Solanum lycopersicum: one gene and its partner. The protein of the gene in region 2 interacts with the protein of the main gene of each other region in a biochemical or structural test. Links are inferred from orthologs where the notes say so. Each region holds a gene or a part of one and is shown on either strand. Other genes may lie near its edges.

What was found.
Region 1: of the proteins of SOS2 (region 2) and CBL10, one has a biochemical effect on the other in vitro, tested with the Arabidopsis thaliana proteins (6 studies listed by BioGRID, with this or other methods). The link is inferred for Solanum lycopersicum from reciprocal best matches to the Arabidopsis thaliana genes SOS2 and CBL10.

The regions. Positions count from the first base shown.
Region 1 is NC_090807.1:54,643,894-54,660,255, forward strand, and holds CBL10 (calcineurin B-like 10), read left to right. Parts: upstream 1-3,370; 5' UTR 3,371-3,456; coding exon 3,457-3,480; intron 3,481-3,552; coding exon 3,553-3,727; intron 3,728-3,822; coding exon 3,823-3,905; intron 3,906-5,205; coding exon 5,206-5,265; intron 5,266-5,835; coding exon 5,836-5,944; intron 5,945-6,039; coding exon 6,040-6,092; intron 6,093-7,119; coding exon 7,120-7,200; intron 7,201-7,280; coding exon 7,281-7,393; intron 7,394-12,146; coding exon 12,147-12,222; 3' UTR 12,223-12,728; downstream 12,729-16,362. UniProt on the Arabidopsis thaliana protein: Acts as a calcium sensor. CBL proteins interact with CIPK serine-threonine protein kinases. Binding of a CBL protein to the regulatory NAF domain of a CIPK protein lead to the activation of the kinase in a calcium-dependent manner.
Region 2 is NC_090811.1:3,246,829-3,263,920, forward strand, and holds SOS2 (calcineurin B-like interacting protein kinase), read right to left. Parts: upstream 8,492-17,092; 5' UTR 8,370-8,491; intron 8,298-8,369; exon of another isoform or gene 8,206-8,297; intron 7,823-8,205; 5' UTR 7,756-7,822; coding exon 7,591-7,755; intron 6,968-7,590; coding exon 6,905-6,967; intron 6,787-6,904; coding exon 6,715-6,786; intron 5,699-6,714; coding exon 5,591-5,698; intron 5,511-5,590; coding exon 5,436-5,510; intron 5,332-5,435; coding exon 5,278-5,331; intron 4,396-5,277; coding exon 4,270-4,395; intron 3,748-4,269; coding exon 3,658-3,747; intron 3,276-3,657; coding exon 3,153-3,275; intron 2,982-3,152; coding exon 2,862-2,981; intron 2,339-2,861; coding exon 2,222-2,338; intron 1,706-2,221; coding exon 1,649-1,705; intron 1,565-1,648; coding exon 1,490-1,564; intron 1,384-1,489; coding exon 1,288-1,383; 3' UTR 1,048-1,287; downstream 1-1,047. Other genes in the region: YABBY5B (axial regulator YABBY 5), read right to left, coding at 11,648-11,710, 12,181-12,255, 13,447-13,522, 13,759-13,807, 14,245-14,347, 15,799-15,927. UniProt on the Arabidopsis thaliana protein: Involved in the regulatory pathway for the control of intracellular Na(+) and K(+) homeostasis and salt tolerance.

The DNA of each region.
Region 1 (16,362 bases), on a different chromosome or scaffold from region 2:
CATTAAAATCATTCTTATTTATAATAAAGAATGGCTCTTTCTTGTGGCTGTATTTCTTTTATACCTAAAAAGAAATCATTGTAGTAGGGTCGCTTATACATATATTGGAATAAAAAGAAATTATTGTAGTAGGGTTGCTTGTATATTTTTTGATTAAAAAGAAATCATTGTAGTAGGGTCGTTTGTACATTTTTTTATTGGTGGGTGAGTAGGGATCGTTTAAAATTACTAATTCAAATAAGGGAACTTATTAATTTATTGATAACTGATTTAATAATTTTGGTAATGATTGTAATTTGATAAACTATTGGATTACCTCTTCTTAACGGGTAATCCAAATTTTTGATTTAAGATTTAGTTTTGTATTTTTATTTTTTATGTTTTAGATTTTCTATTATTCTAAAATGTGTCAACGTTTGCATATGTCTAATTTACAATATTTTAACTCATATACATGGTTCATTCAATTTGTCACCTTGTTTTAAAGATATTTTCAATAATTTTCTTGTGTAGAATCTTAACGGTTAAATCAATAACAAATAAATCGATAATGGATAAACCAATATCTTAAAGGTTCTATAACAATTTAACATCCATTTTTACAAACTAATAACTAATAAGTAACTTCAAAATCGAATCAGACAGATTGATATGCAGCTCTATTTGTGAGTAAAATAGTTATTTCGTAGTAATTTTTATTGTAATATCATCTTAAAACTTTCGAATAATATATTGTCTAATTTCTTATAAAATGGTTACTCTTATCTTTAATAGTTTTTGGAACTCACAACCATAAATTATACTTCATTTTTCTTCTAAAGAATAGAATATAATTTTAAAATATTATAATCATATACATTTTGAAACTTCATCCAAAATTGACTTATAAAAGATATTTCTGAAAATGATCAAATGATACCTTAATAAATTATCACACCAATCAATTGGTGGAAACCTTAATAAATCAGTAGACAACCTTTAACTATCAAACAGTCTAAACTCGTGTGTCATGCATGATAAGCTTTTGACTCATACATTATTATTATTCTATTTTGTTAGAAACCTTAATAGACGATAAAAAATTGGGGTTTGCCGCAAACATTCACGTTTTGTATTGTTTTATAATATAATATTGTATTATATTTTTTTAACAAATATAACCTTTTAAATTAATTAATTTATTTTTCATTATTAAATAATATCATATAACAATAATTTGAATGGTAAATTTAAAAAAATAGAATATAAACATAATTACTATAAAAAAAAAAAGGATCAAAATCATAAGATACTCCCCCCATTTAAAAAAGGGAAAATTGTATAAAATAGCAAACTAATAACCTAAATTAAATTGAATAGCTAGGGTTTGATTTAATTGTGCTTCATAGCAAACATTGACAAAAATTTGCCAGGCGTCTCTCTCCCAGAAGTCTCGCTCGCCACTCTCCCATTCTCGTCTCTCTCGCTTTATACACAGAAGTGTATAATTTCTGTTTCTGTTTTGTATAAAGCGAGAGAAAATTATATATACACATGCAAAAATGTATATCTTCATGTTATACACTTAATTATATAATTTACAAACATTTTACTTCAAATATTGCAGAGAAAAAGGCCAAAGAATTATACAATTGCGAATTATACAATTGCAGTGAAATACAATTTTTTCTAACTTTATACAACAGAAGTGTATATATTGTGTTTCTGTTTTTGTATAAAGCGAGAAAAACATATATCTTCTTGCTATACACTTATAATTATGCAATATACATACATTTTAATTCGATTCAACTGTATGCAAAGCTAATTATACAATTGCAGCGAAATAGGCCAGCGAATTATACAATTTAGGCCAGCGAATTATACACTTTTATATGTATTGCGAATTATACAGTTTTTATGTTTGCTATGGAGCGCAATTATGCAAAGTTTGCTATATTATACAAATATGATTTTTTTTGTTTGCTATATGTGAAAGTTGCCCTTTAAAAAATGATGGTCTAGTTTGATTTGGAATGGAGTTAAAGAAAATAAAGAAAAAATTTTAATTTGTGGTTCAAAATTAGAGTTATGTCAAATGTACTCAAATGTCTTTTAATCTTGCAGTCTTAAACATGTGACGTGAAAAGTTAAAATTAAAGTATTGCCAAAAAAAAATTAATTATTTTTTTTAAACAAACTAAAAAAAAAATAGAAATATTTTTTTTTGAAACGAAGGAAATAATTATTTTTGTCATTATATAACAATAAATTTAAACAATTTAATATGATAAAGCAACAATGAATATAAACATTAAATTGAACCTAACATTACATTATACATTAATATAAGGCCAAATATATAAGCAAATTCCTAAACTTGTTGGGTTTTTTCTCTCATGTACTTCAACTACTTCATTTTTCTATTGAATCATTGAATTCCCATAATTTGTTTCCTTTAAACAAACAATGTTGTCTGATGTGGAACCAGATTTATGAGGGGTATTGCTAGAGGATACATATATTGTTCCACAACTCATTAGTCCAATTGATTGTGAAAATGTTCGAGAATAATTGTGTTTTACTTAAGTCATTTGAACACATTAGAAAACAAATGAGACTAACACGGTTTGTATTCATTCCTTCAATCAAAATTATTATAATTCGAACACAATTAAAGGCATTTCCAATAGAAAAGCCGATCAAAATCAACCAACAGTGTTTTAAAGGAATAAATTATGGGTGGTTCAATGATTCAATAGAAAAAAATGACTTAATTAAGATACCCAAGGGAAAAAACCCAACAAGTTTAGGAATTTGTTTATATATTTGGCCTTAATATAATATAAGGAGACGTAACAATCATTAGAAGGTGTAAAAGTATGTGACTCATACTTTTTAAATAGAAAAATAAATATGTAAGATAATATAAAGTTTATTACGTGAACCACCTTAACACTTGCACAGTCGTGTGGATCTGATCTTGCACTGACATTAAAGAACAGTGCGTTTAAATATGATTAAAAAACATACTTATACGACTAATTAATGTTTTCTAATATTAATATTAAGATTCTGTCCATATAAGTAAATTTTAGTATTTAATCATATTAATTAGGCGTAACATGCTCGTTTCGATATTTATCAAAACACACACTTTTAATTAAATAATTAAATTTAAATACGCCCTCATCTATAGATAATATAACAAGTGTCTTATAAAAACTTTTAATTTAAAATTAAAATAATATTAAAAATATCTCTAAATTTAATAAAAAATTAATAATAAATCAAAAATGTATTAAATTCAATTAATCTAATAAAATAAAATAATATTTTTTGAAACAATAATTTGTAGTATTAGTGTTCTTCTCAATTTTTTTCATTTAATAGAAAAAACAATTTGATCATTATGATTCTCTCTCCTCTCTGTCTTCTTTATTGGTAAATTTGTGAAACGAAATGTGATACGAATCAATGGATTCCACTCGAAATTCTCTGGTAAATTGCAACAATTCATTTAATTTCACATAGAATTCTATTTAATTTTCATTTGTTTTGTGGATTCTTCAGAGTTGGAGTTCTTTGACAATCTCAGAGAAAATTTGTGCTTCATTTTTCCCCATTATTGCACTCATTGAAGCTTGTATGTATGCTGTTTCTGGTTGCTTCGAATGTCATTACCCTCCAAACAAAAAGTTCAGTTACGAATACACGGACCTTGCTCGACTTGCCGGGGAATCTCGATGTAATTAACATTCCATTTTTTTTTTCAAAAATTAAAATCTGATTTGGAACTGTATAGGTTGAATCATTTTTTGGTGAATTTTGATTTTTTTGCAGTTAATGTGAATGAAGTGGAAGCATTATACGAGTTGTTTAAGAAGTTGAGTTGTTCAATTATCGATGATGGTTTGATACATAAGGTGATTTGTCCTTTTTTTTTTAGGGTTTTGCTTTTGTTATCCGTCTGTTCCAATTCGTAATTTGTGATAAGTTTTTTTTTTTTTTTTTTTGGATATTAGTGCACTTAGACTAATTCAGTATATTTAGCAATTTTACAAAAAAAAATTACATATATTGCAAATTCCTTTCCAAAATGATGAAATTTTTTTAAAAATTACTCGGAATGTTGTTTGATTCTTGTTGATGATGCTTACTGTTAAAGTTACTTTATATAAAAATAAAGAAAGACCAATCTGTTTGATTCTTGGAATGAAACTAGGATGACAGTATTACTAATATGCATGTAGTTTTGCTAGAGATAGGAAAACTGGTACAAGGATCAAGACTATTAGTTAGTTATAGTTAGAATTACTGTTCAATGTAAAGTTGGTCAGAGTTACTGTTCATTGGAAAGTTAGTTAGGATTTCTATTAGATTTTGTTACTCGTTCTTTTGAGTAGTTGTATCCATTCATACGAGCATATCTACGATTGTAATAGTCATTGTAAGGCATCTTTTGAAGTACAATATCTCTTTTTTTGTCTTCTAATATTTCTGTCTCCACTAAACTCTTGATTTTCCTGTGTTAGCTTCTTAGCTTCCTCAAGTAGTCTCATGTATTAGCCTTTTCACAAATCAATTGTGCATCAGAAACCCTCTTGTCATTTGTTGGATATGTGGAATGGAGTGTTGGAAGTAAAGGTGCGCCCAACAAGGCTTGCTTTCGGGTTTTAAGTTTGATGTAAGGTTTAAGTTGGAGAGGAGGTCTGGGTTATGAGCTTAATTATTGGGTGTGGCTGAACTTAATAAATTCTTTGCAATATGTATTATTTATTTGTGTGTGTTCTATCTGCTGACATCGTAATATATCTTATCCTGAAAATTGGACGAGTCTTCGTACAAAGAGAAATATGTAGGTAGAGATTTGTGCAATTTTCAGTCCTAACCTTTCAGCGACATCTATCTCAACTTTTATCTTCATTTTCCGTGAAGTTTCACCTTTATGTTAGACATTTCTGGTCAAATGAAGGAAAGAGAATGAATATTAGTTTTTTGAACCTTTCTTTTCCTCTTATTTAAGTTCTTTCTTCATCTTCAGATAGATGATAACAGTGTTCTTATTCATTTTTTACAAATTTGCATATGCAGCATATCACTTTTTTGCAGTTTTAAGATCCTTGAGTGGTCTTTTCCCTTCCTCTTTACTTTTTCTTACTGAAGTATGTGCAGAGTTTTGAAACTATTGTCATGTTATATTTATCTTTTGCTTTCTTTTTCCAGGAAGAGCTTCAGCTAGCCTTATTTCAAACTCCACATGGTGAGAATCTCTTTTTGGACCGGGTAAATGCACTTAAACTTCTGTTGCTAGTTCATCTCATGTTCTCTCTTGGGATATCTATCTCCATTCCATGAGAACAATGCTAGCATATTATATATGATTTGTGTTAGATTTGAATATGCTAAACATGCTAATTAATGCACTTTGATGTTTCAACTGAAAAAGATGGTTTATCTGATCGGTCTATATATGAACTGCCAGCTTTGGGGTTCTTAATCGATATGAATATGTCACATAACACATTACTATAGTTGGCTGTCCATGTCATTTATCAGCACATTTAGGTGGGTCAGATGGATCAATCATCTGAAGTTTTCCATATTCTATATAAGTAGGATAGTTATTTGTCAACTGTGCTGTTAGCTTTGTGGTTCTTTACATGTGATATCTTGTTTGACTGTATTGAGGACAAGCTGCTTTCTAATAGTTGAAATATATATCAGGGAAAGCTTAAAAATGAGGAAAGAGTTAAAAGAAATCTGCCTTGCATCAACTTGTCTGACCTTAATTTCTTTATGAAGAAATTGTCTTTAGTTTCATGTTGATGAACTTTCCAAGTTCCTTTTCTGCAGGTTTTTGACCTTTTCGATGAAAAGCAGAATGGAGTTATTGAGTTTGAGGAATTTATCCATGCACTTAATATCTTCCATCCATATGCTCCAATAGATGATAAAATAGACTGTAAGGAGTGTAAACCATTCTTTTAATTAATAGTTGTTCTATTCAAATCATCTGGTGTGTGTAATTCATTGTGATCACTTTTTTTTCTCTTGCAGTTGCCTTTAGGCTGTATGATTTACGACAAACGGGGTACATTGAGCGAGAAGAAGTGAGTAATTAAGTTTGACAATTTCTGTCAACAGCTTTGAAGTTCTTTTCTTCTCCAAAGATGTGATATTACCATATGCTTTTAAAATAACTACCCCTTCTATTCGAATCTAACAATTGCTGATAACATGTACTATTAGTTTGCAGACACTAGTGTTTTAAGTTCTATTTAGAAGTACTGGAAGCGAAGGAGAATAAATTTCGCTTACGTATTGCAGGCTATAAACTATAACATATGTTAAACGTAGAAAGTTGATTGATTCTGAAACTGAAACTAGAATATAGATCTCACTGATGATGTCTCAAAAAATACTTTGGATACAAAATGATTTGTTAAGTCAGACGGGAATGGTATTGTGAAGTGATTGATCATAAACTTAGACTGCATTATTTATATAGGAGAATATAATACTACTCTGAGTGTAATGGAAGTGGAGAAGAGTGAGCACAAGGTTCATACAGAGTATTGCCCCACAAGTAATTTACTTTAACTTATTAAAAGTTGTTACAGCTGATATATACAAAGCACAAGCATTGAGATTGACAATATTTTGGCTGCAGTGACCAGTTCTTAATAGCATTACATGCTTAGAAAGCATGTTTTTAACTTGGAAGTTTCTGAACTCCTAGTTTATGTGATCAGTTCCCTGGATGATACAATGCTGATCAAAACCTGATCAGTTATCCTTCTATTAAGCCAGAACAAACTCATTTTTTTTCTTCTATTGTCAAATAAGTGCATTTGTTATAGAAGTGAGTATATTGATGCAATAATGGTAAAAGGAAAGTAAATATATGGATGTAACCATTATTGTAGCTAATTATTATTTGTGCAGATGTTGATGCAATAAAGGTTGAAATCCAGAGATAGCATTTAAGTTTATGTTAACTGAAAGTTCATTGGCAGAACCCTGTGCATAGCTAGGTCTATGGTGTAATCTACTTGCAGTGTGCTGTGTTAAAGTTGATGTCAGATTTATTTTTAGATGCATTTATCCATGAATTGATTGGAAAGTTTCTTCATTTAGGTTAAGCAAATGGTAATTGCAATTCTGATGGAATCTGAAATGAGGCTATCTGATGAACTAGTTGAGGAAATTATTGATAAGGTATGCGTTTGTCAAGATGAATCTTTTCTCCAAACCCATGTCTGCTTATCATAATTTTTATGTCTCCGTCTTTCTGATAGACATTTGCTGATGCTGATGCTGATGGGGATGGCAAGATTGACAAGAAGGACTGGAAAGAGTTCGCTATCAGATACCCATCATTGCTGAAGAACATGACTCTGCCCTATTTGAAGTAAGTAAACTGTTCTTTTGCATCATGGCTACTGTGCTTTTATTATTGTTGATTTAACCACCTGATAATAGATCTAGATCTGATTCATTTCCTCTTGTTGCTGTTTTCTGTTTCTCTTTCCCCACACTTGTTTTGTTAAATAGGAAAAGGGAAAACTGAAGAGAAACTAAACCTCCCACCTCCAACCCCACCCCCACCCCTCCTCTCCCTCCAAAATCTGGTGTTTTGAACCCCAATCAAAGAAAGAAGTAAGCTTGTGGTAGGATGGTAGCTATTCATTATTGTTGGCTGATAGAGGATATTCTTGTCATCAAAGATATGATCCTATCAAAGATGTGATCGTTTAAGATCTTAGGATAATTGTGGATATCATTACTCTGATTTTTCTCTTAATGTAAAATATATATGATTCTGTATAATCCCTGATTTCATGGGATTTAGGTGGTTCTATTCCATAATCTCTTATGTATATATAAAGCCATGTAATATGACATAGAAATATATGTATGAAATTATTCAACAATCTTATTCCACATGGTATCAGAGCTTTAGGCTTATTCCTGACCAATTTTTTTTGATGACAAGGGAAACCCGCAGTCGCTACCCTTTGGGTGCGCACAGGGTAAAAACTCCACTCCTATGCAATAGCTCGCAAATCTTATAGGAGAGGTAACTCGCACTAGGCAAGCCTGGTGCACAAGCTCGACCCAGAAGGCAAACCCCTTGATTTCGCGGGCAAGGGGTTTCAAACTTGAGACCTCCAACATGGAAGTCACAAGCTCAAACCACTGGGCAACCCGAAGGGTATTCATGACCAATTTTGTTCATCCTACCTAGACAAAAACCCATTTTTGCTACCATGTCTGAAAATGGTACTGCCGCAAACATTCCAGTCTCTGAAAATGTTTTTGCAACCGTAGAGAATAACTCTATAGTTTCAACTAGAGATTTGGAACATTCAGCTTCAATATGTAGTTGTTCATCGGCTTTCACAAGTATTTCTTACTCTTTTATTACTTATGTCTCAGACAAACTTTCTCCAACGTGGGTGGTTGATTCTGGGGCAACTTATCACATGACCGGTCTCTCTCATCTCATCATATCATATTCCCCTTGTCCTAGCTATAAAAAAATAACTATAGCTGATGATTCAGTTGTCACTGTAGTTGGTCGAGGAGACATACTACTTGGAAAATCCTTGATACTTAAAAATTTCCTTCATATCCAAAGTAATCTGTAAATCTCATTTCTATCTAGAAACTCACCAAAGATTACAAATGTCAAGTAACTTTCTTCCCTTCATATTACTTATTTTGGATCAGAACACGAAGGAGATGATTGGGCGTGCTAGTGAGAAAGGTGGTCTTTATTGTTTGGATTTTCACAATGGTGAATATATATCTAAGAATTCCTTGTCTAGTTCATTCTTGTCTGAGTCTATTATGTTAAATAAAGAGAAAGTATGGCTTTATCATCGTCGGTTAGGTCACCCTTCCTTTTATGTAATCAAAAGGATGTTTCCATCTTTGTTCAAAGATTTGATTGTGGAGTCTTCTTTGTGATGATTGTGAAATTACAAAACACAAATGTAGTTCCTTTCCAATTAGTCACAAAAGATGTCAAACTCCATTCTCTCTTATTAATGATAACTGGTGACCCTCTCCGACTCCTAATATTTCTGGTGCTAGATGGTTTATGTCATTCATTGATGATTGTACAAGAGTTACGTGAATCTATTTGCTAAAGCAAAAATCTGATTTCAGTCAAATTCTTCCTACCTTTTTTAATATGATCAAAACCCAATATGAGGTGCCAATTAAAAGATTCCGATCAGATAATGCCAAGGACTACTTTAATTAAAACCTCTCTTTTCTTCCAAAAAGAGGTAATTATTCATGAATCTTCATGTGTCAATACTCCTCAACAAAATGGGATAGCAGAGAGAAGAAATGATCTGTTACTTGACATTACTAGATCATTGTTGTTTCACAAAAAGGTGCCAAAACAGTATTGGGGGGAAGTTGTCCTAACTGCTGCACATCTTAGAAACAGAATGCCATCAAGATTTCTGAACTTTCAAAGTCCGATTGATACTCTTAGGAATTTCTTTCTAAATTAGGAAATTTCCAATAAATTGGTTCCTAGAATCTTCGGAAGTGTTGCCTATGTTCATATTCATTCTCAAAATAGAGGCAAAATTAGATCCACGTGCTCTTAAGTGTGTTTCCATAGGATGTTCTCCTACTCAAAAAGGTTACAAGTGTTATCAACCGTCATCTAAGAAATTCTTTGTTTCAGCAGATGTCATATTTGATGAGAGTGAATCCTTTTTTAATCATTCTTACAATCTGGGGGAGTCATTGAAGGGAGAGGAACCTCTAGACTTGTCACTATTTGAGTTGTCTATTTCTAGTCATGCCAAATTCTTGCCTGAGTCACCATTTGTTCGGTCACCTGAGTCTATGAATCCAAACGAACCCATTGAGTCTCCTAATCCAAATATAGATAATGGAATTCTAGAAAATAATCTACCATTGCAGGTATTTTCCAAAAGAAAGAGACAGACTGATCAAACTAGTCAGTTGCAAGCATCTCCTCAGGTTACTACTTCTAATACCCATCCTAAACCTGCTGAACCGTCAGAACCAGCAAACTAAACTGTTCATGAAGTAGAATTTAACCAACATAATGACCTTGACCTTTCCATTGCACTCAGAAAAGGAATTAGATCTTGCACACAACACCCTTTGAGCCTTTTCATGACATAGCAAAATCTATCCCCAAGTCATAAAACTTTTCTCTGTAACCTCCACACAATTTCTATCCCCAGAATTTTGTCTGAAGCATTAGAAAATAAAAAACGGGAGAAAGCTATACAGGTAGAAATGGAAGAGTTGGAGAAAAACAAAACTTGGGATATTGTGAAATTACCAAAAGAAAAAAGGTTGATCGGGTGAAGATGGGTGTTTACATGAAATATAAGTCAGATGGGTCCATGAAAAGATAAAAAGCACCTTTGGTAGCAAAGGGTTATACACAGACCTGTCGAATTGATTATTTGGAGACCTTTGCCCCGGTTGCAAAAATGAATACAGTGAGAATCTTATTATCATTGGCTGCGGTTTTTAATTGGAACCGGCAACAATTTGATGTAAAAATTGCATTTTTACATGGAGACTTAGATGAGGAGATCTATATGGAGGTGCCACCTAGTTTTGAAAGCAAGAAGGGAATGGTGTGCAGACTGAAGAAGACACTTTATGGATTAAAACAATCACCTCGTGCATTTTTTGGAAGATTTACAAAGGTTATGATCGAACTAGGGTATCAACAAAGTCAAGGAGACCACACCTTGTTCATAGGACACTCAAAACAGGAAAGGTGACAATATTGTTGGTTTATGTGGATGACATCGTAGTAACAGGCGATGATTCAGAGGAGATACAAAATTTGAAAAAGTGTTTACTCAAGGAATTTGACATCAAAGAGCTTGGAAAAATAAAGTATTTTTGGGGAATCGAAGTGGCACACTCAAAACAAGGAATCTTTATTTTCCAACAAAATTATGTGCTTGATTTGCTGTAGCCAATTTATGCATGATCCTAGAGAAATGCATCTTCAAGCTGTCAATCAGCTTCCACAATATCTCAAAGGAAGTCCAGGAAAAGGAATATTATTCAAAAGAGGAGGAGACATGGTTTTGGAGGCTTATACAGATGCGGACTATGCTGGTTCATTAGTGGATCGAAGGTCAAGTTCAAGATATTGCACTTTCTTAGGAGGAAATCTAGTGACTTGGAGGAGTAAAAAACAAAATGTAGTAGCTAGATCAAGTGCAGAATCTGAGTTTCGATCTATGGCTATGGGAGTTTGTGAGTTGTTATGGTTAAAGATAATCCTTGATGATTTGAAGATAAGATGGGAAGGACCTATGAGACTATATTGTTACAATAAATCAGCAATAAGTATAGCTCATAATCTTGTACAACATGATTGCACTAAGCATATTGAGGTAGACAGACATTTCATTAAGGAGAAATTAGATAGTGGACTCATTTGTACGCCATTTGTATCTACAAAAGATCAGGTGGCTGATGTTTTAACAAAAGGATTACCAAACAATGTGTTTCAAGATTTAATAAGCAAGCTAGGAATGGAAGATATCCATTCACCTACTTGAGGGGGAGTGTTGGCTGATATAGGATATTCTTGTCATCAAAGATATGATCCTTTAAGATCTTAGGATAATCGTGGATATCATTAATCTGATTTTCTCTTAATGTAAAATATATGATTCTGTATAATCCCTGATTTCATGGGATTTAGGTGATTCTATTCCACAATCTCTTATGTATATATAAAGTCATGTATATGACATAGAAATATATGAATGAAATTATTCAACAATCTTATTCCACAATTATGTCTTTTGAATATACAAAATATTATGGACATCCTTTATTATGTGTAATCCTTTTTCTTTGTTCTGTTGCCTTTATGAACTCTCTTTTGTTCGTTGGTTCAGTTGCTCAGTCAAATTCTCTTCTCTCACTGGAAGAACATTTTATATGCACAAGGCCAAAAGAAAAATGTTTCTACTGTGCTGTTTTGCTTCCTTCTTTGGTAGCAAACCAGAGAAAACAAAACTTTTATATGTTCTCTTTCTACATCATACTGTACTTTCCATGAAAACTGTTGCGTTGATTAACCAAAAACCTCTAAAAATAATGTTTTCTTGTGCTTCATTTTACAGGGACATCACTACTTCATTCCCAAGTTTTGTCTTCCACACACAGGTTGAAGACATTGAGAAAATCCATTTGTTGTGACAAGTTGTGCACTAGCCATAGCGAGGAAATATGATCGGGACAGGGAACTCTGTTAATCTGGCTAAATGGTTCGTGTCATCCCTAGAAATGTCCTCCATTACAAAAGGGAACATGTTGATCATCAAGTCTAAAGCAGCAGCCAACAGCTCTTCTTCTACTAAAATGGCTTAAGCTGTCAGCCTGTTATAAGCATCTCATTCATTTTCAGAATCAATCTTCAAAAGTCTATTGTCTTAGATGGTGATTTAAGATGATCGATTGATAAATCATCACATGTATTTCTGCCTCAACCTAGCATCTAGTTACTATTTGCAGTGTACCCCCAAAAAAAAAAGGGAAAAAGAAATTGCCGTGTATATAAATTTTTACCATGAATTTGTGTATCTGGTTGTTATCAGTTTCCAATTCAGTGATTGATGTCCTGTTTAGATTGTTCATCTGTTAAGGTCCAATCTTCATACTGTACTTATCCTTTCTTTTACTGAGGAGATTTATACTTTGCTGCATATTGTAGGGTGTGTTTTTTCTGATCTGTGTTTGGATGGATTAATGCTCAATATATGAGTTTTCCATCTTCTGTTGCAATGCAGAATGCTTCCTTGGAGAGAATTGTTCAAGTTCAGGAAACAATATTATATTTTGGATAAGATAAATTAGGCTATAACTCAATAAAACCTTCAGATTGGTGCTCTGGAGATTAATTTGAGGAAACTTACGTAAATATACTATAATAAAAAAATATTTATCATTTATAGCAATAATATTTTTTTTCACTTGATCACTTTTAATTCGTTTATAATACACGTTTAATACATATTGCAAAGAATAATTTATTATTCACATATAATATAAATTTTAATGATGAATAATACATTTATCACACATTTTAATACACTTATAATATAAAATGTGATAATTTTTTACCAAACAAACATGATATATTTCAAAAAACAATTATAATTCACATATACTGCATAAATAATTCACTTTTAATACATATTACAGATTTAACAAAACATTTCTATAAATAGTAATAAACAAAAAATATCACTAAATCAGTAATTATTTTTTAAAATGTATTAATTTATATAATTTTTCCTTAATTTAGCCTGGGATATAACTTTATTGGAAAGAAATTGGGTTGGATTTGATAAAAATCGAGGTAGATTGGGCTTAATGTTAATTTTAGAGAAAAATCCATAAACAACTATAACTTGGAGCGTAATATCATTAGCAGCTATAATTTTGACTAATTACGAATTATAGTTACTATTTTGGTATTCCTCGTATACATGATATTAGTATATACTTTAGGCCATCTTTCGAGGAAACCTTGAAGTACTTTGTAAAAAGAAATAGACAAAAGGTGTTAGTTCCCGGAATATTCTGGATATCGGGGATGGTGTAATATTGGAAAAATTACATGGAAAAATAAACTTATATCAGAAATTACTTAAAATAGTTATGGTTTGCTTTACTTATCATTCGCCTTTTACTTTTTGTCAGTATTATCAGTTTAAGCGTGCCTTTTTTCCCCTTTTAACCCCCGTTTCACACGTTACTTGTGAGACTCTGCAGATTTTTTCTTTTAACTTTTTTTCACCATAAATTTAAAATTTCTACCTTTGCCTCTCAAGTTGTTCTCTCAGATTTTCCAGGTAATTATTTTTCCGATTTCATGCTTATTTCATTATCTTGTATTTTATATTACTGCTAACTTTTTTGTTCTTTTTCAGTTTTTCTGTTTTATACATCCAAAATGAAGAAAAAACACCTTCTAAGAGAATCATTAGAGTTATACAGTCGAATCAACAATTTTTGTATGATTTTCCATCTTTTTCTTTGGGTTTAACTCAGGATGTCGAAGAAATTTCAGGATCCATGACTAAATCTTGAATTAATCAACAAGATCGTATGTCGAAATTTGGTAATACCCCATTGAAGATGCAGGAAGTCATGCATATTGCAAATTCAAAAGGAAAGACAAAAAAAAGTGAATAAACATAAAGAAGACAAATCTGTTGATGTTTTGACTTCAGCGAACAAGCGTAAAGTAAAAGAGATTGCATCTACAAGCATTAAACAAGACAAATCAGTTGAAGTTTTGGATTCAAAAAAGAAGCGTAAAGTAAAAGATATTGCATCTACTAGTAATATAGAAGATGCCCAATCTGATTCAATTGAATGACTACATTTTGAAAGAATTGAGGTAAGTTGTAGATGTTTTAAGTTCACATCTAAAATTGTACGCATATCTTAACTGTTTGAATATATTTGTATCTCTATATACAAAAATGAAATTCTATATTCAAGTTGTTGTTGCATTATTTTGATATTTGTGTTATACTTGTTGATAAATTATATAAATTATGTTTTAATTGTATTCATATTTGTATAACTTTTTATATATATATATAGATATTCACTTTGTATAACTTTGAATTTGTATATAGATATTTACTTTTTATAACTTTGTATTTGTATATAGATATTCCCTTTGTATAACTCTGTATTTGTATATGGATATTCACTTTGTATAACTTTGTATTTGTGTATAGATATTCATTTTGTATAAGTCCGTATTTGTATATAGATATTCACTTTGTATAAGTCTGTATTTGTATACAGATATTCACTTTGTATAGTTCTGTATTTGTTATACAGTTTATGCTATTTGTCTTGTATAATTATATATTTGAAATTGTATAATACATTTACATTATTTATTAGGGAGTACAATTTTTTCTCAAGGAAGATTCACTTTACACAACACACGTGCAATGTTATACCAATATTGGGGTAATGGATCAATTACGCTCCAAATTGCCTTCAGTTGAGTTCAATCAATTTTGCGCATCATCTTGTTTTGCTCAAATATCAAGTATGTATTGTTGTCATGTTCAAGCACAATTGTTTAGATGTTTTATGTTGCGAGAGGTAGAGGGTAGTTCTTCTAATGTCATTACATAAATGGTACCACTCTACGTTTCACCCGTAGAGATTTCTGTCTTGTTTCTGAGCTTAAATGCAGTGATGATCTGTCAACATTTATGTTCACACTGAAAAAACAAATAGACTTCTTCAGATGTATTTTCAGAAGAAAAAAAAGTGTATCAAAAGCAGAATTTGTTTAGAGTTTTAATAATAAGGTATGGGGTGATAACGATGAAAATGCATTGAAGTTTGGAATTCTGTATTTCAAACATTCTTACATTCTATCTGAAGAGTCATTCTCTACAACAATTGATCGAATCGACTTTGACTTGGTAGAATCTGAAATGTATATGGATTATTCATGGGGTAACAAAGCTTTTGAGGAGCTAACAAAAAATTTGATTGGAAAAAATGAACAAAACAGGGAAGTACTACAAAATTCATGAATTTCCTATTGCTATTCAAGTGTGATTTTGTGAGTGTTGTTCACAAGTAGACAAAAAAATGGTTGTTAAAAAATCTGACCATATTCCTAGAATTCTCAATGGAATCACCAAAAAGGATTATCCCCGCATTGATTACTTCATGAAAGAAATGTTTCACGATGTCAATAATTCGGTATGTACTTTTGCCTACTTTTAATATGTGTTGTTCTTTATTTTATATACAAATATTGTTTATCATATTTATACATATACAATAAGTAGAACTTTCATTTTTATACATGTACAAGTGTTTATACATATATAAATTTTGTGTTCTTCGTAAATAATGTATGTAGTTACTCACTAATTATACATATATATATATATATATATATACACACACACATATACATACACATATATATATATATATATATATATACATATACATACATACATACATATATATATATACATACATACATACATATATATATATACATACATACATACATATATATATATATATATATGCAATGATTTTGTTATAAATTTCAGATTACTTTTCGGAACATAACTCCAACTCCATTGAAAATTGCAATCATTCCATTGCCGCCAGATTATGTCCAATCTGATACAGCTTCACCATCAGTAGCACCTTCCAACATTGAAGCAGATGATGTTATACAATCTCATGAGTCATATGATGACTTTCAAGACCCTCCGAAATCAATTAACAACAAGGGAAAGAAAAAAGTTGTATCTGATTCTGATATCTTAA
Region 2 (17,092 bases):
ATGTCGGAATTTTGAATCACCAAAAACTCATTGACTATAACACACAAAAATCAGCAAAAATGAGGGTTTCCCTGCCCGGGGCTCGTTGGACCTTGAAAATGAAGCGTTTTGGTTGTCTGGTCCAACTGGGTCCATAACTAAGGTATCAACGGACTTCCGTGAAAAATTTCAAAAAAAATATCGTCGGAACTTTTTATCACCAAAAAAGATGGTGAACTATAAGACATAAAAATCGGCAAAATCGGAGGTTTACCTGCTCTGGAGCTCGTTTGACCTTGAAAATGGGTCATTTTTGCCGTCAGGGTCAACTGAATCCATAGCTAAGGTCTGAAAAATTTCAGCAAAAATGACATTGGAATCGGATCACCATAAATTCATGGACTATATCACACGAAAATCGATAAAATTGGGGATTTACCTACTCCGGAGCCCGATTAAACTTAAAAATGGGTCATTTTGGTCGTCTGGGCCAATTGGATCCATAACTAAGGTCTTATCAGACGTCCATGAATATTTTTGGCAAATATGATATCGGAATTTTGAATCACTAAAAATTCTTGCACAATAGCACATAAAAATCAGGAAAATGGGGGATTAACCTTCTCCGGGACTTGTTTGACCTTGAAAATTGATCATTTTGACCGTCTTGGACAACTCGATCCGTAGCTAAGGTATTAACGGACGTCCATGAAGAATTTTGAAAGAAAAAAAAACAATATGTAGGTTTAGAACTGTGGGACTTTGCTCTTTAATTAACCTTTAGTTAATTAAGTTTAAAATTAAAAGATATTATAATAGGCATTCTATCAAAAAATACACTAAAACCTACGCAAGCACTCGTATTAAATGTTTAAGATCAAACAATATGGCAATAAGGTTTTACATTCTTGACTTCTTGGTGAAGAATTGAAGTGCTTCTTTGCAAACACGTTTGCAATAAAGAAATATTCTACTAATAGTATACTTTGAGGTGATAATTTATTTTTTTTTTTAAAAATGAAAACTAACTGTACCGATACCAAAGAGAAACCGATATTATTGGGATGGTTTTGAAAAGTCTAGTTTTGGTTATACATTATATAATATCCGAAAAATTGGTTACAACTGATCGAACCGTCTCATTTACAACCCTACTTGTATTGCTTTTGAGCCCATGATTTATCACTTAAGATATGTAGTGAACAAAAGATTAACAACATGCAGTTACACACACTATACCTAACACAACGAACGTCTTCGGAGCACATCAAATTGATAAGTGATTCACTTCATTCCCAGAAATCTGGTTCAGCGAGTCCTTGTCCTAAGCAGAACAGCATTTGACATGCCTTCCTTCGGTTTCCAAATGACGTCGTCAATTTTCGTGCAGAAGGTTTTGTAGAACTGCAAATGCACATAACGTCATTTTCGTGCAGAAGCTAAATATAAGTATGTAATGCAAGCTATAGTGAAAAAAAAAAAATCAGTCAAAGTTGAGTGTAGAAGCAACCTTGTGATATTCAAGAGTGTCCCCAGCAGCCTTTCTAACATCAACCATAAAAAGGGAAGGGGCTACTTGGAAAACCTTCACAAATTATAGAAAGAGTGGTCAAATGAAAATAAGAAACACCGATCTTAAGATGAATCGGTTTATTAAGTTTAAAGTTACCTCCAGCACAACAGCAAATTGACCAGCCCTATTTGCCGTTACCCCCTCAATTCTTGTCTGCAATGAGAAGAGTGGTTCAATAAATCAATTCCCACTCAATAACGAGAAACTTACCCAGGGTATTCTCGTTTAAGAACACGATAGAATTACCATTAGTTTGTATCCAGTGACAAAAAGGAGTGGTACTCCTCGCTCTGTGTTATAAAATTATAGATCTGCCCCTAGTTCCAAGATGTTTGCATCTTAAGCAACAGATAAATTTACAACCATCATTCATTCAGTGTTAAGCAAAATGCGACTAAAGCTTATGTGGCACAGTTACGATTTTGCTCCTTATAAAGAGCAGGAAAAATTGAAGGGGTGAATTCCTCCTGTATATTCCATTTTCTTTGATGTTGAAAGGAAATTGCTGTTTAATAGATTGTGGGAAAAGGGTAAAAAAAAATGCTGAAAATTACAGTTGATCCAATGGGAAACTGATTATTTAGTTACAACAATGCTTCATTCTGATTGAATTCAAATTTGAATAAAAGAGAATCATTTGTCCCTGAATATGGAGAGTTAGAAATATACCTTGTAATCGCGTGTGTGGACCTTAAGACCCAACGACTCTGCAGCTGCTTCAATAGTTTCAATGACGACTTTAGCAGGTTGGCGGGAAATAAATCGAGTTTGACGCTTGACATAATCCTGTAAGAATGAGAGAGGAAATTACTCTTTGTTATAAGAAGGAAGTTGTCAAAACCTTAATAGCAAAGAGACAACCTACTACACATGTCAGCATTTTTAAATTTGTAGAAACATAAATAACTCAATCATTAAAAATATAAGCTATTCAGATCATATCTGACACTTTTTTTTTTAAACGAAAAAATAATCGCGACGTATTTGATCTAAAATTAGATTTAGAAAAGTTGATATTATGTAGCATTGGCTCTGAGCCACTTGACTACAAGGAAAAAGGAGAAAAAAAAGAGGCCAAAAATAGTGAGAGATAAATTAACGTGCTTCTATATAAGAGCATGCTAACTAAAAATTCAAGGAAGAATCAATTTACATATCCCATCAGATTCTCTTCCTTATCCAAGAAACGAAAAGCTTACAAGAAGAAGCGGGAGAAAGAGATAAAACAGATGACGTTGTGATGAATTAAAATCTGGAAACGTCGGGTATGGTTTATTTTTTGGTCCATGAACTAAATTAATCATTGTACCTGACGTCTGTCAAACAAAGCGGATAGATTTAATCCCTGAGATAGTGTTATCATCTCAAATGCATTCATTACCAAGGGACCACTCTCACTATCTTCTGATTTTTCACTGACAAATGCATCCTGCACATAAAAATAGAACATATCAAACCTATAATGGGTGAGAACATCGAAGTATCAGGCCAATCACTTCAGTTAATCTAAATCCAGAGTACAATTTATCTTAAACTTGATCACTTCCTCACACAGACATACTAGTTAGCATACTAGAAGACGAATGTGAAAAGATTCAACCTCAATGTCGTCGAACACAGCATGGATATCATCAAGATTCACTACTTCATCTGCTTTAGCTTTAACAGCTCTGTAGTTTTTCCGGAACCAAGGGTCTCGTTTTATTCCATCAATCTTGATCCTCTGCATGTACATGGTTCTGAGTAAATCACTATGAAAACACTAAAAGGACTTTTGTACATGTTATGCTGAAGTTTCACAAATTAACCAAGAAAGAGGGAATGAGAAAAGGAACACTTATACTGAACAAAAGCAAAGAATGAGCAGAAGGCATGCTTAAGGCATTTCTCACATTTAAAATGACCTCAAAAAGGATTTCTATAACCAATCCGGGAAATTTGGAAGGAATTTAATCCATGTTACGGGGCTTCTCATATTTCATCATGAGGGATTTGTTTTTCCAGTACAACTTTAATGTTATAAGCTTATAGTAGATTGAATAATTAAGTGACAAATAGGCAATCGGACACCATAGTTTTCAGGGTTGAAAATATAGTGCACTTACAGTTTGAGGATTTGGATCAATGATTTTTTGAATCAACGATGTTGCACCAGGAGAAAACCAAAATGGACAGGAAAATTCAGCAGCCTTGATCTGTGTCAATATTAAAAGCAATAAGAAATTTGTGCAGAACAAACCATAACATTTAACATATAGTAAGCCACACATAGAGCAAACAATAACTTTAACATATAGCAAGCCGTGTACAAGTAATGTCAAGTTCTTTTAAAGCCCCAATTAATCTAATAAAAAACAAACAAAAAACAAATAATGGTAATAATAAAAAACACAAGGAGGAAACTCATGCAGATGAAGATGAAATTAAAAATACGGAACAATATTTTTTATGAGAGCAGTGTGGTCGATGCCAAGTGAAAGAGAGCTTATCCTTCACACAAAGGTCAGAGAGCTGAATAAATATATCAATCAACTCATTACACCTCAATCCTAATCAGAAATGAATAATATACATATGAGAAAAGAACAAATATTGTCCCTCATATGACCTATGATCCTTAGCATTTGTCACTATATAAGAAGAAAAAGAGAATCATTTGACAGAATTATCTATGCTTCCATTTAACACATTACAAATGCATGATGACTGCATCTAACCTTTGTATACAAGGTAGGAAGGTCTGTCTCATCAAATGGAAGATATCCTGCCATCAGAACATAAAGGATGATACCACATGACCACACATCCGCAGCAGCACCATCATAACCTCGGTTACCTAACACCTGAAGAAGTAACTAAGAGTAATAAGCCAGCTACCACAGAAAGAGTCCAAACACATTCGAATATAAGAAAACATAGTAAGCAAATTAACATATGTTCAGCAATTGACATAGTTCAGACAAATTCAACTTGATGCAAACCTCTTATATTAAACAATTCAGCACAAGGTTATGATGTTACCCAAAGAAAGGTAACTGACAGTTACTGCAATGATTTGAAGGTATATTACTACAGAGCTCATGGAAGGGAAATAAATTCTGATTCTCTCTCATTTGATGACTAATCAAAAGCCAATTGATCATGCTAGGTAAAAGGGATAGCAATGAATTAAAATGAAAGACAACCACCCCTCTGCTTCGCTTCTTTCTGATTCAAGCTCCTTGCAGATAAAACAAATACACACGGTGCTTATTATTGTGGACATCATTGAGGATGTATGAGGAATGGGAAAATAGATAAGAGGACCTAAGTTTCTAATCAATGAACCTGAAAGTCGGAGCTAGCACGGCAGAATCAAACAATACTCAGTGACATATTAATGATATAACTTAAATCTAGGCAGAACCAAACAATAAGTATAGCTGGTGCAAGTTACATATTAATGATAAGAAACTGTCATGAATAAATTCAGGCCAAACACGTGGAAATTCTTCTTAATTTTGGGTGGTGGTGAGATTCGATCTCAAGACCTCTGCTTGGCACTGATACCATGTTGAAGTGTGTGACCATCTCATCTAAAAGCTTAAGGTGTTAGAGAGAGTACATTTTTTATTACTCAATTATATTCTCAACAAAGGGTTTTGGGATAGCAAGCCAATCAAATGAAGAATGAAGGGTTGCATGTACAAAACAAGAAGAACATTCAAAATATATATGCATCATACCTCAGGTGCAACATAATTTGGAGTCCCACAAGTGGTATAGAGGAGCTCGACTCCCTGTTAGAGATTTGAGTAAATTCCCATTTAGAAGCTCTAATGAACAAGGAAAGAAACAAAAATAGATATACAATCTAATGCAACTAACATCAGATGTTGCTTACTTGTTGAGGCAATGCACTAAGCCCAAAGTCAGAAATTTTTAAGTTCCCTTGGAAATCAAGAAGCAAATTTTCAGGCTGGGGAACAAGGAGCAATAGTTAAAAGATTAAGATATATAATTTTCACAAAATATCTCTTCCAATCAGCAATTGCGAACCTTCAAATCTCTGTGGTAAACACCCTTGCTGTGACAGTGAGCAATTGCATCTATGAGTTCTTGGAAGTATCTCCTTGCTTCATCCTCAGAAAGCCTACCTAGATGAACCTATAAATTGAACGAATATAGAATTGAAGAGACAGATACATTACTAAATCTTGAAAATCAAACCTTGATAACTCATAGGGAGAAGGACAAAATAAACCATAAAGGGTTAAAGCTCCATGAGCTGAAGTAAACTAGTAAAGACGCAAGTGCCTAATTGGAAACTGGACTACTATCAATGAACCAGCTTATACCTAAGTAACCCAACAATTTATATGTTTGATGAGGATGAGATTTAGTTGATCAGAACCAGGCTGGATCATGCATTTCATACCAACTATTCAGGAATACTGAAAAAAATGTACAAAGTTCATAAGCGAAAATAATCCTTCTCGATAGAGTTCATCTCTGACAGAGAAAAACTGATTTAAAGCTAAATCGTCACTGACAAATTAAGCATTTCCGATCACTATCTTGTGCTTAAATAAGACTGGTAACACCTATCCAGAGGAACCTCTTGATCAGATGGAATTTTTGACTTACTAGAAGGTAACTCAACACACTCTTAACTGCTTTGAGAGTAAAGAAAATGATCTCCAAGCTCTCCACATAAAAAGCATGGACTGGAATTACTTTATCCAAATACAGAATGTCTTTTTCTACGGATATCTCAGCATGCCTCTATTTTTCAAATATAAAAAAGAGATATCTCGGTCATGCCTCTATTTCTCATTATACAGATTACTCCACCAGACTATTGCTTTGTGAATATTGTATAGGATGCACCAAAGATATCTGCTGCTCACTCCATTATCTACTTCCCCATCCTCCATAAGTATCTTGACCCAAACTACAGCTCATCCTAATAAATGAAGATTATCACTTCATAGAAATTCGTCATGGGCACACATCTTAGTTGCAACAATGTCTCAATCGTGCCTCTATTTTCATTTACAGATTACCTTCCTAGTCATTATCAGATGGAGAGTTATCCATCATCACATACAAGGAACAAGAAGTCTGCAAGAGTTATTGATTAAAGAAGGAAAAATCTTATTGAAAATTCTAAGGAATCTTACAATTTTATCAAAAAGCTCTCCTCCAGTGACAAACTCCTGAACGATATATATTTTTGTCTGGCTAGCTAAAACCTACAAGGGAACACAAAATCAATAAACATCAGCAACAGCAAGTAGCAACGATAATAGAACAACCAAACTCACAGTAGTATTTGTAATATAATACTTTTTATTCTTTTTTTCTTTTTACCTCATGAAGTCGAACTATGCAAGGATGTCTGACAATCTTCATTATAGATATCTCTCTTTTGATCTGGAAACCATCTCAAAGAACAGCACATTGATCAGCCAAAATGCCAGACATGGATAACAAGGACGGTAGAATAATCACACACAGACCCCAGAATGTGCTCTATTAACACAGAAATCTATTTCAAATGCAAACAGATAATAAAAATTCAATATGATCAAATCTTAATTCTTTTACACAGCTAAACTATTGCCAACCATCAGTTAAGAGGCTTAAAAATCCATCAACCAACTAAAATTTGACTATAATTACTCAATAATGGAGAACATGCTGATGTTCACTAATAGAATTCAGCTCAGATACCAGGCACATTCACATAGTTCAATTTTGATAACAGAGTTCATTGCTACGGCGTTCAATGTGAGCTTAATAGTCCACCACTGAAGCTGTCATGGTTACCCTTGATTCACATCAGATCAGAAAAGCCTACTGAAGTTCGACAGAAAAGATTTCAGACCTAAGTTCAATAATAATCACTTCACAGATTAGAATAACTTTTCTAATTATCAAGCTCCAACCTTTGAATATGGGATATGTGAACACCACTGTTATCAAAATAAAATAACAAAAATGCAGGACATGTAAAGCATATACTCGAGTGTTTGAAGGGAAGTATATCTTAATACCTGTTCAACCATTCTATGCTTAAGAATGGTACTTTTGGCCAAGACTTTAATGGCAACATTCTCTCCAGTCTCGGTGTTTCGTGCAAACTTAACCTTGGCAAATGTCCCTTCACCAATAGTTCTGCCAACTTCATACTTCCCAAGCTTTCTCTTCACTTTCTTCATCACTGAACACTCATTTCCCACAGATCACCAAAAGCAAAGCAACCTTCAACTATAGCTCATCAAAAACCTGTCAATTGAATCACAATAAAACTAATCAGTAATCTAGATCAACTCAAGCTGATCATGTATTACATGTGAAAATGCACACATATAATAAATACTTTCTCCGTTTCAATTCGCTTGCCTTACTTTTTTAATCCATTTAAAAAAGAATGCCTCTTTCCTTTTTTTAAAAAAAAAATTATTTCTGTTAAAGTAAAAATCAGACAAATAAATTGAAACCGGGATATGCAATTTTCACAGGTATAAAAACTTATCGCATATACATACTCATATGATTGAAGAAACTTAATACATAGACCTAGAACAGAAAATATTTACCATTACAACTCGAAATGCAATTTTCAATTGTGTATATATCCAAATTCAGAAATTAAAACGGAAAATTACATTAACTAGAAAAAGCATAAAAGCTGATTTCCGCAAAGTTTCCATCTTCGACCTAAATTTAACGCGATTGACGAGAGAAAAACAAAATTATGAAATTGAATTCAAGTAAATAATAAATTTCAGTATAAGAAAGAAAAATGGCGAGTTGCTGGCGGAATCGTTACCGGAAATGGAGAAATTCCGGTGGAGAAGTCGCCGGGAAATTGAGCAACGGAGAAATCTGATCGATTTGGAGCTGAGGTAAAATATTGGAGAAGTTTTGAACTGTGGCGAATAAAGAAGCATTGGTTAATTTTAACCGCTAAAAATCAATTTATCAGATTTTTTTTTAATCAGACCAAAATTTTATTTAGAATTTTGAGTTGCGTATCTATCGGTTCGATCCAATTTTAAAATTTATCGATTTATATAACCTTTAAGATACTAACTTATCAGTTGTTGGTCGTTATCGATTAAGTTATTGATTTAACAGTTAATATTTGACACCGAAAAAATTATTTAATATTACTTAGAAAAAAGGTGACAAACTAAATGAACCATGCACATTAGTTGATAGATTGCATATTGCTCAAAAGCAAACACTATAACAGGATAACTGAGAGTTTGAGATAGCCAAAAATAAAAATACGAAATTAAACTCTAACTTAGACTTTATATGTCAAATGATATAAATATAATTATTTAGCTTACTATTGAGTTATTGGTTAACTCATTAAGAAAAAATCTCAAACGGTTAAAAAAAATGATGACCGATGTAAGAAAAAACCATTACTAAATTCGTTAAACCAATAACCTATTAGGCTATTATCGATAAACCAATGATCGATTCAAACTTATCTATTTCAATTTAATTATGAACAACATTAATCAACATCCCATCACGAACTTACCAATTTCAATTTAATTATGAACAACATTAATCAACATCCCATCACGAACTTACCAATTTCAATTTAATTATGAACAACATTAATCAACATCCCATCACACCGACAATCAAAACAATTTTAGAGATTTTTCAATAAAACATTTTCTTTAATGTTATGTATCCACATTGACAATGACCAAATTTGAATTTGTATGTTGCACGATTTATTTATGAGGACAATACTCTGAATAAGACTTTTTTAATTTTAAAGAGTTCAAACAAAAATTTTAATTAAACATGAAGAGATTACGAATCATCTCACCATAATTAACAATCAAAATAGTTTATTAGTATTTTGAATCAAATTGTATTACATTATTTCATCGACCAAACAACCCCTATTGTCTATTCAAGTAAGGCTACAATTAGATGCATGAAAAAAAATGCATCCAATAATGGAGGACATGTAATATAGAACAAGTCAAATCTTACAATAAAATCACATGTAAATTGTTATATATATTGATCGAAAACAAATTCAACTAAAATAACAATCTTGGACTAATCTTACTTTAAATAAATATTTTCCTTGTGGACCTTTCTAGATAAATTGATCCGCTTTTATATTAAAATAATAATTTATAAATTTTGAGTTTTAGTTCTAAGTATGAAATTATTTTATTAGAAAGTATTTGATTACTAATATTATAAAGACTCAATACGTATATCAAACATAAAAAATAAATTTTAAAAAACTGAATTTTCATCTAATCTAGCAAAAAATGATGAAATACGAAATATATCGTATTCCTTCACTTTTGAGAGTAGGTTAGATGACCATCCCGCTTCATCTGATATCAAAATTATTGTAAAAGATGCTTAAAAATCGCTACGACTAGACAAAAAGTAAATCAAAAAAGATTGCAAAAACTATATAGAATAATACATTATGCTAATCAACTATCTTGGCAAATCTTACCAAATTACAACTTTGTTAATTGATATTTGACTTATTAGCCAATTATATTATTTTTTGTGGGCCTAAATGTGGCTAACATCCAAATTTAACGTAGCTTTAACAAATATAAGTATATAACACTTAACAGATAAGGAAAATAAAGTGTTAACAATTTTTTTTTTTTTTTGATTAATTTGTGGTGTGTGATGAATTCAATATTTTAAATGTGAGCTCTCATTTTCAGGTTGAAATATTTAATTACAAAAAATAATAGTCATACCGAAAAGGAAAGGGACTAGGGACAATAATATTTTTGGTCCCACAAAAAGTTAATAAATTTTAAATTTTGATTTTTGCTATATATGTTTTTATATAAAGAGATTAAATATATATATTTTAATTAATTAAAAATAAATATATTTAATCGTATATTAATCAAAATAATAATTTATCGATAATTGCTTTGATTAAAAGTGATATTATCCCAAAAGTCAAACCACTAACCCTTTCAAATGATTAAGTATCAATTTAATTTAATCGATGAATTTAGTTCGATATTAAATTTATAATATATAAATTTTTAATATTCTAAAGTCGTTTTTGAAATGGTAAAAATAGAGAGATAGAGTGCTATTCCATGGTGGTCTATGCAATTTTAATTTTTACCAGATAATATTCATATGTGTTATAGCGTAATGATATTCATTAACATACACATAATATATATAATATATGCTTGGACATAACATAAAAGTTCCTTTTTATACTATATATAGGTTTAACTTTGTACAAAAAAGAAGAAAACAACTTTTGCAATCAAATATCTATCCAATAAACTAATTAAAGTAAAGTACTCATGAATAGTAAATGAAAAAAAGAACACAAACATACCACAAAAAGTTAGAAAGTGTTGTTTCTAATTATTTATTATTATTATATACAACATATATAGTACAAGTTGTTTTGCTTAGAGTGGAAATAATTTTAAAATTCATAGGTCTATTTCCTATTGTTTTTAATAATTGTTAGAAATATGGTACACCATGGTGATGATAAGTAATTATCTTTTGACATAAATGGAAAAATACATTTGTTCCACAAATAAATCAAGTGTATCGAAACTTCTAAAGGGATTTTAATATTTTCGATCACTCTAATTATTATTTTAAGATTTTATTTTTCGTCGATGCTTAATCTATCTCGCTACTCTAGGTCCATTTTTTGAGAGTGTACGTATATCACGCACCATCAATTATTCAATCAGATAGTACATACATCAGACATTATCATATAATCAATTAAGTATGTTTTAATATATAAATAGTGATAATTCAAATAGATAAAGAGAATAACCGATAGTTAGACTATTTTATCTAATACCTTAGACTTAATAAACAAAGAATAAGAAAGCAATCTAAATATCTAGAAAGTTTTTTCTCTCATTAATTATTAACTAGAGAAAGATAAAATAAATTGAGGTAGACAATAAAGGAACTTCAAATAATTAATTTCCAAATTATATTACACAATTTTTAAGTACTACTAATAAATAGAACAAATAAAATCACACTTTGTCTTAAATAATTCAACATACAACATGTAGAGAATTAATACTCTTAGAAGGTGAAGGTCTTTATTTTTGGCAATGCAGCTCTATGCATTATAAGCTTTTCTTTGTTCTGCACATAATTGGAATGAAGAACAAATTAGACACAAATTAAAATTACTACAAGTTAATAAAAGGAAATATAAATTGAGGATATTGTTATCTGCTTTAATTTACGTATCTTTTTTTAAAAGGGAATGTCCGGTGACTACTAAACATTCCACGTTCATGCAGGATTTGGAGAAGTCAATACTAATTCCACGGCTCAATATTTAGTAAATTTGAAGGATTTTCCGATACATTATATACATTTTTAGCTTATAAGCAAAAATTCGACTAGTATTTCCCTTACACTTTTGGAAGTTTTTCTTCCTTAATTACATTTATACTAGAATTGTTTTTTTTCTCTTCATATTATTGTAATATTGTGTCATTTTTTTGACAATAAAACAGAAATTTAAAAATCTATCGTCTCAGTTTATGTGATATGATCTGATCGAAGAATATAATATTTATATAGTATAATTTTAGGAATATTATTACCTCACTAGCACCAAGTTTAGCTTGATTGTCAGTCTCTAACATGAGGCCAAACTGAATGTGAGGGAAGTGTGCCCACTAATTAAACCAAACAAAGCTAATAAATCAGTAATTACTAACCATAAAAAATTCAGCAAAAATAATAATTATAAATTAAGAGAGAAACTAAAATATTTCCTTTTAAATTCATTTTTAAAAAAAAGGAATAACAATTTTCTAACTTGAAAATAATTTAATAATTTCTAATTATCTGTCCATCAAGACATCATCAGAAATATATTTTGACAATCAAATCAATTCTCAACCGATATTATACGTATGAAATTCAAGTTCTTTTTGTAATGAATGAAAAGTTTTTTATAAGGAAAAGAGTCTGATATACCCTTAAACTTTGTCATTTAGAGCTGATATACCCTTTGTTATGAAAGTGACTCATATATATCCCTATTTATAAATAATTAACTCACATATACCCTTTTCCTCTAACGGAAATAAAAAAAGAATAATTTTAATCTAATTTTTTATTATTTTTTTCTAAAAAATATAATCTCATATGAGTAAATTTAATCTCCGACAAACATATTTTTTTTGATTTTTTTTTATTTCAATGACTAATGTAGAATTATTATTTTGATAATCAAATTTATTTATGTTTCACTAATATTCTTGTAAAACTTATTGTAGATGACCAAATTTTTTTCTTCGAATACAAAATCAAATTACAATATAGACAAGAAAAATAGTTTAAATTTTTTTTCTTTAAACTAAGGAATGAAAGAAAAATAAATAAAATAAGAATAAGAAACTCAAATAATTATAATAAAAGAAATCAAAAAATAATTTATGTATGAAAAAAATTAAAATATACCTTAAACTTTGATAGAAGAATCATATATATCCATAAATAACTTTTTTTTAAAAATAAAAGTAAAAAATATAAATTTAAAACTAATTTTTTAACTTCCGTTAAATGAAGGATATGCTATAAGCTTATTAACGGCAGAGGTATATGTGAGTCATTTATATAACAATAAAGACATATATGAGCTACTTTCATAACGAGAAATATATCAGGTTCAAATAACAAGATTGGTGATATATCACTTTTTCCTTTTTTATAATAACCACACGTACCAATGTCATGAGATATTTAAAATCATAAGTGTTATCACAACAAATAATTAACATATATATATATATATACATATATATATATTATTATTATTATTATTTTATTTTTCTTTTAACTTTTTGTCTATTAAAACTTACATTTTTAGCAGCAGTACTAAATGCTTCCCTATGAGTGATATCTGGATTATTAGCCTTGATCCTTTGAATCTCCTCTCTGCATAAATTATTTTAATATATAGTTGTTAATAAAATTCAATAAATATCTAATAATTATATAATTAGCGGATAGACTATAAATGTTGCTCAAATTTTCTAAAAAAATAGAAATAATATCATATTACACTCGTGTTAAATTCTTTAAAATAAATTATTTTTTTGAAGGAATATCAATATACACCTATCGATATATTTTTTAAAAATTCGATCATCATAGAGATAGAGTTGTCTTACTTTATAAACTGATTATAAGCAGAAGGTCCTCGTTGCCTCTTTTCCGGAGCTGAAAAAAAAACTCTTAAAAAATTAATTAAATTTAATTGAGTTCAAGTTCGATACATTGATACGATAAACATATACATAATATACAATTTGATGATATTTTTAGAGTTTGTCATATATACATCAAAACATGATTACTTTCTTTTTTATACATTATTAAGTTAGCAACAAAACCTACTATGTTACTCGATTGGACTCTTCAAGAATATTGTTGAATTAGGGTCAGATTCTTCAAAAATACATTATTTTTGAATGAATTAACAATGACATTTCTAAAGAGTCTGAGCAACATAGTCCACGATCTGAAGTCTTGAAAAAGATATGTTACCCGCGAGTTGAGCTAGCTATGTTTATGCATGCGATCCAACATCCTTGGTTGAAAAATTAAACAATATAACACACAAAGTTAAAATTAAATTTGTTTAATATATTACGTACGTCGATTTACGTTCCTCTCCTCAAGAGTAGAGTTGTTTGTGATGGATGATGAAGCAAAATCTACCTTGTATTGATCATGAGGAGAATTAGTGTAGTTTCCTACCTGAAAATTAAAAAAATTACTTACAGAAATTAGAAGAAAATTTTATATGGCATCATTCAGATATCAAGAATTCATCGAATAAATTTTCATTTAATAAATATTTTGAATCGATTAATTATTGTTATTAATAGTATTTATAATTTATTCAACAAACTTAAAGTCACAATCAAAATTTATGATTTTAGTCGTTAAAATTTGAACTAACATCACATAAATCGAGACGGATAGAATGTTGGTATTTTTTTTACCAAAGAATTGAAATGATGTTTTGTGATAAAGACGAGAAGATAACAAAACAACATTGAAGTGACTGAATAAGTTATTCTCGTGATATTATTTTCAGGACAAATATCCTTTTCAAAAATCAAAATATGCTAATTATTTTAGGATGTGTTTCCACATTATAGGACAAAAAATGAAGAAAAAAAAAACTCAGAATATTTCATATCAATCAAATCAAACAATTCAAAAGCATGTAACATTTTCATTATAATAACCAAAAAATTTAGCGAAATCGATTTTTCATATTATGTTACAGTATTACTATATATTCGATACAACAATATTTCACCATAATAATAAAAATATCCAAAATTATAATGAGGTTTGAAAGAAAATTAAAAGAGTAGATCATATAATGTTAGTTTGTATATGATTATGGCTATTATAACATGTATTTATTTTTAGTCTGTTTCAAAAAAAAAAGTTAGCATCTTTCTATAATTGAAAAGAATTTGATTTTGAAAATTTCTTGTTTGCCCTATAATGTATTGAATATAAATGTCTACGGTTTGTTTTAGATCATAAATATTAACAAATTTCTTTTTTAATTTCCTTATATTAAACCATATCTCATACTCTCTCTGTTCACTTTTATTTGTTCAGTACTTTAGAAAATCAAAAGATAACTTATCATCATTTAGTTCCTAATTTTTCCACATTATTATCCAGGGGGACCTAGAGTCACCCCTCGGCAAAAGAATTCGTTGTATATTTAAGGTAGTTTTAAAAAGTTTTATGTTTATATATTAATTTTGAACCTCCTGAATATAAAATTAGAGGTCGGCTCAGTAATTGAAGGGTTTAAATCTCAAGCACTGCTCTCTTTTTTTTGACTAATGAAAATTCTGAATCCCGCCACGGTTATTATCTATAGTCATTTTCCAATGTTTTCTCGAAATATTAAATTTATTATATTAAAGGAGTGATACCTCAGTAAAAGGATAATTTTCATTGATCATATTTTAAGAAATGTACCAAGTAAATATTGGACAAGTAAAAATAAACGGGGATCGGACCATCGAGCAATGTCTGTATTTTCTTAAAAGAAGTAAAACCTAGAAAACCCTAGATGTTTTTTTTTTTTAAAAAAGGCTATAAAAAAAAACATAACGCCCACAATTTCAGCTGCAAAAAAGAAAAGTTTGTTTTTTTTTTTTGTTAGAATTGACCTGATGATGAAGATGATTTTGCCAAGAATTGGTGTGAAATGCAGCAGCCATATTAACGGACCACAAATTTGTGCAATGTCCACATCTAACTGTCACTATATCAAGCAAGTTGCTGCATGGAACACTCACCTGCAAATATTATTAATAATCAAAACGCGTTGCTCTCGAGTGATAAATACTTTTTCATCCTCTATTAAATCAGAGGTCTCATATTTAATCCCTACGTATAGAGTTTTCCTGTTTTACGTAGTGTTGTTAAGTATTGATAAATATTCTTTCATTCTTAATTAATCAGATGTTATGAAGTGTTTTTATCCCTAGCACTATATGAAACTTTCTTAATGCAAATTCGAATAAATCAAACCCTAATGTGAATATCGAGCGAGAAAATCAAATAATAAAAATAAAAATAAAAATAAAAAGAAGAAGAAATTATTAGGAGTATATGCTCCAACTATATTTTCATACTTAATTTTGATGATATATAGTCACAAGTGAGGATAGGGCTTAATAGATGTGAATTCAATATTTAGAGTCAATGAGATTTTAATATATTTATAGCAGAAATAATAGATTTAGTTGAACTCGGAGAATCCTTTTGATAGGCGGGAGATCGAAATCTTGAGATAATTTCTTTTTTCTAAGAAGAAGAATGTTAGAAGTTCATGATCTTTAAATTCGACTATAAATCAGATAGTGAGAATGAAAAAAAAAAAGAAAAAAGGAGAGCAAAAATTACCTTGTTTGTGCTCATTTGACTCCTCTATGGATTGAAATGAGTAATTGAGTACAATTTACATATAGATTTACATGTTTCTAGAAAAAAAATAATGAGTTTGATTGAACTCGCAAAACCCTCTACCTAATGGTAAAGGGGAATTAATTTAGGTCTAAATTTTGACATCTACATTTTTTCCACTAATCCACCAAAAATGTTAGAAGTTCATGTTCTTTATATTCGACTATAAACAAAGTAATGAAGATGAGAAAAGACATAACGAGTTGATCATGTGTTCAATTGAACTCACAGAACTTTCTACATCTGCCTCGAGGGTTAGGGAGAGGCCAGGGGGGAGGTCATCAACTATATTTTTCCACAATTGCACCAAGAAGAAGAATGTGAGTACTTCACATTCTCCAGATTCGACTATAAACCAGGTAGTAAAAACGAGACAAAATCTAAATTTTCTTGTTCTTGATTATTTGACTAGTTCCATTACAATTATGGAGATGAATCAATTTATAGATCTAAGATGTGAACAAAAATCGAGAAAATAAAAAAGAAACCCTATAT